2 linked regions of the Nothobranchius furzeri genome follow. The protein of the gene in region 1 purifies or fractionates together with the protein of each later gene. This does not show direct contact. Links are inferred from orthologs where the notes say so. Each region holds a gene or a part of one and is shown on either strand. Other genes may lie near its edges.

Evidence for each region. Proteins that work in one complex are often made in the same cells at the same time.
Region 2: the proteins of kinesin-associated protein 3 (region 1) and kif3cb purify together in Homo sapiens (co-immunoprecipitation; 3 studies listed by BioGRID and IntAct, counting the BioPlex papers as one, with this or other methods). This does not show direct contact. The link is inferred for Nothobranchius furzeri from reciprocal best matches to the Homo sapiens genes KIFAP3 and KIF3C.

The regions. Positions count from the first base shown.
Region 1 is NC_091751.1:58,732,111-58,735,863, reverse strand, and holds the end of kinesin-associated protein 3, read right to left. Parts: intron 3,745-3,753; coding exon 3,566-3,744; intron 3,453-3,565; coding exon 3,290-3,452; intron 2,764-3,289; coding exon 2,663-2,763; intron 2,583-2,662; coding exon 2,474-2,582; intron 2,395-2,473; coding exon 2,282-2,394; intron 2,177-2,281; coding exon 2,011-2,176; intron 1,924-2,010; coding exon 1,798-1,923; intron 1,713-1,797; coding exon 1,614-1,712; intron 1,514-1,613; coding exon 1,428-1,513; intron 1,346-1,427; coding exon 1,192-1,345; intron 761-1,191; coding exon 676-760; intron 560-675; coding exon 457-559; 3' UTR 237-456; downstream 1-236. UniProt on the Homo sapiens protein: Involved in tethering the chromosomes to the spindle pole and in chromosome movement. Binds to the tail domain of the KIF3A/KIF3B heterodimer to form a heterotrimeric KIF3 complex and may regulate the membrane binding of this complex.
Region 2 is NC_091758.1:20,995,519-20,999,195, forward strand, and holds the start of kif3cb (kinesin family member 3Cb), read right to left. Parts: upstream 2,922-3,677; 5' UTR 2,735-2,921; coding exon 1,361-2,734; intron 1,249-1,360; coding exon 1,147-1,248; intron 1,044-1,146; coding exon 921-1,043; intron 774-920; coding exon 655-773; intron 1-654.

The DNA of each region.
Region 1 (3,753 bases):
TATCTATGTCAACACTTGTTTTAGTTTTCTTATAATTATAGGAGTTCCCCTTAAGACCACTAATTTAGTGTTTCTTTTTATTTTCTCGTTCTGAATGATCTGAAGTATCAATAAATATTAAAAGAGAACAAATGTGCAAAATAGGACGACAAAAACAATCAAAACTTTCTGTTCATATTCAGAATATTACTGGCCACAACAGTCAGGTAAAGTCAGACTCAAATACTCATCTGTTGCAGATAATGAGGAATGAATGAATGAAAAAGCTGAGTGAATATGAAAGTGGATGTAGCCTGCAGCTTTCCTTTTACTGCAATCCAAAACATGTATTTTAGGGTGTCTGCTCACAGTCCGAGTAAAGGCAAGGAGAACTGGAGCTGTGATGGAACTGGACATGCAGGAAGCTGGAAAGACGGGATGCGGTACATCAGCAGGACCAAAAGTGTGTGTGTGCTCTTATGAGTACTGAGAGAACAGCTGCTCATCAGGTCTGAAGCCGTAAGCAGTAACTGGTCGTCCAGGTGATGAGCTGGTCTGGTCGAAGACGTCGCCCACATCTCTGATCCACAAAGACATTGATATTAATATTACTACACATAAGAAAACTTCCACTTCAGCTAGAAGGTTAGTGATCTTGTTCATTTTCTGATCTGGCTCTGTCTGAGGTCGACTCACCCTGTGAGATGTGAGTCTCCATTCTGAGACTGCAGATCACCGAAGAAATCTGGGCTGACTGAACCATCTCCTGGGGTTATTCCATCTAGAAAAGCATTTAGAAATTTGAATGAGCTGTACAACCACTGCAGCGTGATAGCAGCTGCTAAATCAGCACAGACACCAAAAGCTTGGCAATTGTTTTAAAAGTAGCGAGACGTTTTCTGTGAGAATTTAGTAGCGTTTGTCTAATTATGTGACATTCTCATAACCGGTTATTCTGTATACCTTGTGAGATCAGATAAGAAGCCTGATTGTGTGGGCAGGTGACCCAGAAACATGAAGAAACCACAAACTTAAAGTTTGACCTGATTACATCACTGGATGCAAAAGGTGGACATGAATGTTGGAGCCACAGGAGGCCACAAGGCTAACATCTGGTCTGAGTGGCAGAAATAGACAAGGTCTAAAAAAATGCTTTTAGTGTGAAATTTGCACAAATAGAAGAATCTGCTGCAGCGCTCATCTGGTTTCTACCTGCGCTGTAGAACAGATCAGTCCTCTCGTCGTTATCGTACAGATACGGCTCAGACTCGTCCACTTGGCGACTCTCGACCATGTCCAACCACTGGTTGTTGTGGAAACGAAATTTCTCCGACTGGATTTTCCTCCCCCACTCCTCGTCGTACTCCTGTATATATACATATATATATATAAAACATCTGCGAGTAAAGGTGGAACAGGGTGAGGATACGATGTGCAGGTTCACTTACAGCGATTATGTCGAGCGTGTTGTCGCACACTTTTCTGATCTCGGTGTTCTTGTCGTGCATCAGGTCTATCAGGTAAGCGGGAGCCTCTGAGGAAACACTTAAAGAAAACTAGCAACCTAAAACTTTAGCTCGCATTAAAACCCAGTGAGAGGCGACTGCTGCAGAGAGCGCCCCTGGGAAGGATACGCGTGTCTTTGATGATGACGTCCCGTGTGGCTTGGTGAAACACCATCTGATAAAAGACGTAGACGATCTGACACACAAACTCGTCATCTTCTTGGCGCGCTGCATAAAGGACAGGACATGTGGAGTGAGAGTTGATAATAATCCAGGGAAAATGTCCTAATCTGGTTTTCTTTTTTATTTTTACCATTCAGTAGTTCAATAAGGGCAGGAATGATGCCAGATTTAGCCAACATGACAGCGCAGGCGTCATCCATGGAAACTGTTCCAATCATTATGACCACCTCCAGTATGAGGTCATCCTCTGCCGAGTCTGAAATATGAACAGAGAGGCTTTCTGGCAAACTGAGACAACGGGTAATTTCTTCTAATTCTGTCTTCTGAATGATTTAACTGATACCTGGTTTGAGATTGTCTTTGAGGAAAGGCACCAGGTTATATTCTTTCAGCAGCAGCTCCCAGTCCAGGTCAGGAATGGTGAGGTTGGCCAACGTTCCCAGACACTCCAGGATCCACACCTCCCCTTCTACAGCACGGATCTCTGCAGCCAGATCTCCCACATAGTCCTAGTGAAGATTACTCAGATCATCAGACAAAACAATCCTTCTGTGAAGCACGAGTGATGCTTTAGTTTGTCAAAATGACAAATTACTGTGTGTCTCACAACGTACTATAAACAGCGGCTTGGTTGGACCATCATGCTGTGAGATGTTTCTGATCATCTTCATCAGAAGGCAGTCTTTAGTCTTCAGAGCTCGCTTCATGAGCATCTTCAGTCCATTTCCTAAAACCGGAAAGGCACCAAGCAAAAGCTGTTCAGTTCAAATACAGATTTAGCCCTGAAACATCAAAAAACCAAATACCTTCACACATGAGCTGTGCGTTCTTCTTGTTAGCAGACAGGTTGATGCAGATGGAGATGAGTTCCACATCAATTTCCTCCTCGCCGTGGTCGTAGAGCATTTGCATGAGCTGGTTCCAGACACAAACACAGATTTGGCTCATCCTCTGGAACGCTCAGTCACTATGAATGGAAGTGGATCGTGGCGTACCTGAGGGATGCAGTCGGTGTAAACGAACATGCCTCTGAAGCGGTCGTCCATGCTGATGTGGTACAGGAGGCGCATGGCTACCTGTCGGTTATTCTCATCACCTGCATCGTAACAAACGTGTTCGAATATTCATACACTTACTACAATAATAATAATGATAATAATAATAATAATAATAATACATTTTATTTAAAAGCGCCTTTCAGGACACCCAAGGTCACTTTACAGAAAACACATGATAAAATACAATAAAACAATAATAAAACCCAAACAAGAAAAAACAAAGAGAGAAACAGTTCAAGGTTGTAGGCAGATTTAAACATGTGTGTTTTGAGTTTTGATTGGAAAAGGGTAAAACTGTCGATGTTCCTGATGTCTGGGGGAAGTGAGTTCCAGAGACGGGGAGCAGAGCGGCTGAAAGCTCTGCTCCCCGTCTCTGGAACTCATGGTAGCGAGACGGGCAGAAGGAACCGCAAGATGGATGGAAGAAGAAGATCTGAGTGAACGGGATGGGGTGTGAATACTTATAAGGTCTACAACGTAGTTCCTGTCAGACAGTGGGTTTGACTTCTGTCTCATTTCCGTCATTTACTCAGGAAGCTGTGAAGAATCTGTGTTTAACGTTACCCAACAACGCTGTCAGTTTGGGCACCAGCCCGACTTCCACCATCTTGGCTCGAAGTCCGGAGTCAAACGAGAGGTTGAGCAGCAGACGTAGAGTCAGATTCAACAAATCATCGTGTTCACAGGGAATCAGACGAGCCAGTCGCTCCACGGTGTCCAGCTCAGCCTGCGTGCCACACACACGGTCACATCAGAGCTGGACTAATGACAAAGCTTGCTGACTTCTTGTTAAAACAGGCAAAAGTAGTTAGTGTAGAACAACTAAGCCCTCCTGCTCACCATGTCGTTCTTATTCTCCAGGAAGATCGACAGCTTTTTGAGGAAGGAAACCACCAGAACCAGCAGCTCCTCATCATCACGGTCAAGAACTTTGACCAGCAGTCCAACAATGTTTTTGTTCCTCATCTTCAGCTCTGTCCTGGTGTCCTCAGCGAGGTTCAACAGCAGGTAGAGAGAAACTAAAAGGA
Region 2 (3,677 bases), on another chromosome or scaffold:
TGTGGTACGAAGCCGCCAATATTTTTAAACAACTGAACATCACACCTCGTGATTTTTATCTTGAGGAGCTATATAAACGATATTCTTCTTCCTCTTCTTCTTCTTCTTCTTCTTCTTCATTTTCAACATTTAGTTGAAAATTTCCAGAGATTAATGGTAAAAAACTACAAATTGTCTCTTTAACACCTTAATCTAACATCTGAAATGTCTCCTCAGCCTTCATTAGTTTCTACAAGAGCGGTTCATCACTAAATCAAACAAATCAGCTGTGTTCACCATCTAAAACATGCAGAAAACATGCTGGAAGCAGACTCCAATGCCAGGCATGTCCACTCCACTTTACTAAGTCCAACAAGGACCAGACAACCACTCTGAAGTTGCAAATGTGGTATTCTGACCAGTGACCACAGAGGGTGGTGGGGTTCTGAGTGTCTCTCTCTCACCATGTAAAGGGTCATTTTAGCCCATTCTGGCTCAAGAAAATTATTAAAAATATGAAAAAGTTGCACAGTGTGGCTTTAACGATTTTGTTTGATTTAGATTTTGTTGTTCACTATGCTGCAGCAGCTTCCTGGCTGTGATGAAAGCTCACATTTATTGTTTATTAACTTTTACTTGAGTTATTAATAAAGTCTCCTATTTGTGTGGACCTACTTGTACTTGAGCTCTTTGGTGAGCTCATCCTGTGTCTCCTCCAGCTCTTGTCTGGTTAGGATGTGTTCATCGATGATGTCATTCATCTCTCCTCTCAACACCTGCAGTTTAGCAAACAGCTACAGAGAACAGATTAATCAATCAATAAATACAATCTAATTTTATTTGTACAGCACCTTCCACAACCTTAGCAGAAGTCCAAGGTGCTGAACAGTATATATGTACATCTGAATGTAAACAAAGACACTCGGACTTGGTAGACACACCCTCTTCAGTTTCTTCGTCTTGTGCTCCACCTCTTGCTGCAGGGAGGAGAACGTCTCCTTCCTTTCTAAAGTCTCCTCGTCCTGCAGCATCATCTGCTGCTGGATCTCCCTCTCTCGTCTGATCTGCAAATCAAAGCCAACATCCCGCAGTCACAACGATCTTGTGCACATTCAAATGTTTCACCATGGAGCATCACCAACACTTTATTATTGCTGATTTTATTACTTGTTCTGCTATTTCTTGTCTCTTCAGCTCGAGCATCTTTTGCTGTTCGTTGGTGTGATCGATGATGGTCTTTCCTCCCACCAGCAGTTTGCTCTCCATAGCCTGTGAACAAAGAGATCTGATAAATTATTTATGTAAATGTCCTTTGTTCAACTACCCAGTCATTTATCACACCAGATGCTGAATAAAAACGGTATTAACTGCAGGTCCGTACCTTATACTTCTCTATGATCTTCTCCACGGCTTCTTGGTCCCATTGAAATTCCTCCAAACATCTTCTGTTAACGTTTAGATGTTTTAGTTTCTCGCTGCTCCCTTGGCAGGCCTTTGGGTTGCCCTCAATCAGCCTGTGCTTCTCATCTTCTTCCCCTACAGTCTTATCTGTAAAGATTTCCTCCTCCGTCCCAGCCATACTATTACTCAGTCTTTTGCTGTTCCTCCTCCTCCTCCTCCTCTCTTCTGCCAGCATCCCTTGCTCCTCCAGCTGAGCTTTCAAACGTGCAATCTCTGCTTGAAACTCCCTTAGCAGGGCATCTTTAGGGTCCTCGTTGATCCGTGGTTTGTTCTTTATTTTCTTGGCTCTGCTGGCGTACCTGAGCGTTGCCAGGGATTCATCAAAGTTCTTATGGGCGGGTCCAACTGTTGCAACCATGACCGTCTTTGCATTGCCGCCCAGAGAGTCCTGGAGCAAGCGGGTGAGTTTGGAGTCTCTGTAAGGGATGTGGGCGCTCTTCCCATCCACCAGGGCTGAGATGACGTTCCCCAGCGCTGAGAGGGACAGGTTGATTTTGGCAGCTTCCTTCAGACGCTTCCCTTTAGCGCCTGTCTTGCTTTGGCGTTCGCTTCCAGCCAGATCAACCATGTTCAGTTTGCCAACACGTATGTGGTCCTCACCATCCGGGCCTAGTTCGCTGCACTCCACGGTTACAACAAAAATGGCGTGAGACCTTGAGCTGCGCTCGTTCATGTTGGTGAAGCCCACCGTTCTGGACTGGTTCCCAATGTTCATGACGTGCTCGATCTCTGTGACATTCTTCGTCAGCACCGAAGACAAGTCTTTCACGTAAACGCCATACTCAGGGTTCTCTTTGAGCTCCAGCTTTTTGTTGTTGTCTTTGCACAGGAGATCCCTGATCTCCTCCTGGTAGATCTCAAGGTACGAAGACCTGACCAGATACTTCTGATTCTGACTTCTGGAGATTTGAGTGAAAATGTGCTGAAATGAGTTTGGTATGACTCCACTCCTCTCCGGGTCGTTGGACACCCCCTGCATGGTGTAGGTCTTACCGGTCCCGGTTTGTCCGTAAGCAAAGATGGTGCCGTTGAAGCCTTGGAGCACAGACTCTACAAGAGGTCTCACAGCATCATCATAGATGTCACTTTGCTTTGAGTTCCAACCGTACACCGAGTTAAAGGTGAAGACCTTCATTGGCTCATCAGGCGGTGCCTTCGGGTTTCGGATGGTGATCTGTCCCAGTTTGTCATGTATCTCCAGAATGTTCTCACACTCTGCCACCTCCTCTCTCCTGGAGAACGGCCGGCAGCGCACCACCACCTGCACCGCCTCGCAGGCTCTAGCTGAAGACATTTTATTTACCAAGAATCAACAAACATCCTCGCAGATTTATTTCTATCTTCCTTCTCCAGGTGCCTCAGTTTCATCAGCAGCGGCAAAACAAGAAGTCAGACACGCCTCACCGTCATCAGCATCAGCATCATGGAGAAGCGCTCAGGCCGAAGCGTCTCCTCCTTTCCGGGGCATCATGGAGCGATGTCACAGGATAATTAAAGATGCTGATGTGAGGGGAAAAGCAGCCAGCCCGGCCCGACCCAGCCCGCTCTGAGTCCCGGCGGAACACACCCTGCTCTGCAGACAATGGAGACCAGACACGTGACCTGCGCGACGAATGAGTGCGCCGCTTCAACAAATTAGCCCCAAACAATTACCACGCGAGCGTAAAACAAATAAAAGAAGTTTAAAAATAAACACGTTTTTATGTTGATGAGGAAATGAAAAGAGTAATCTGGTTGTAATAATTTTATGTCCAAACGTGCGCGTTTTTATGGAAGCCCATTCCCGCCACTCAGATAACTCTCTCTCTCTCTCTCTCTCTCTCTCTCTCTCTCTCTCTCTCTCCCTCTCTCTCTCTCTCATATATATATATATATATATATATATATATATATATATATATATATATATATATATATATATAATCTCAAAATTATGACTTAGCTATCTCATAATATTGAGATAGTCGCCTACATATATATGCGGTACTTTTTGAGTCATTACGTTAAACTCCTGCAAAAATAACGTCTGGTCCGTCTGGTCCTTAAACATTCAAATGAATGAGATACAAACAAACAATCAAATCAATTCCAAAGAAGACGTAAAATAAATATACTGGGCGGGTTATAAATTTGGTTACCTTTTTACTGTAAATGCGCATACACACACTCTTTGAGGATTAAACAGAGATTACACGACCAGACTGATAAGCTAACGGCTAGTCTGAGTGAGGACTGCC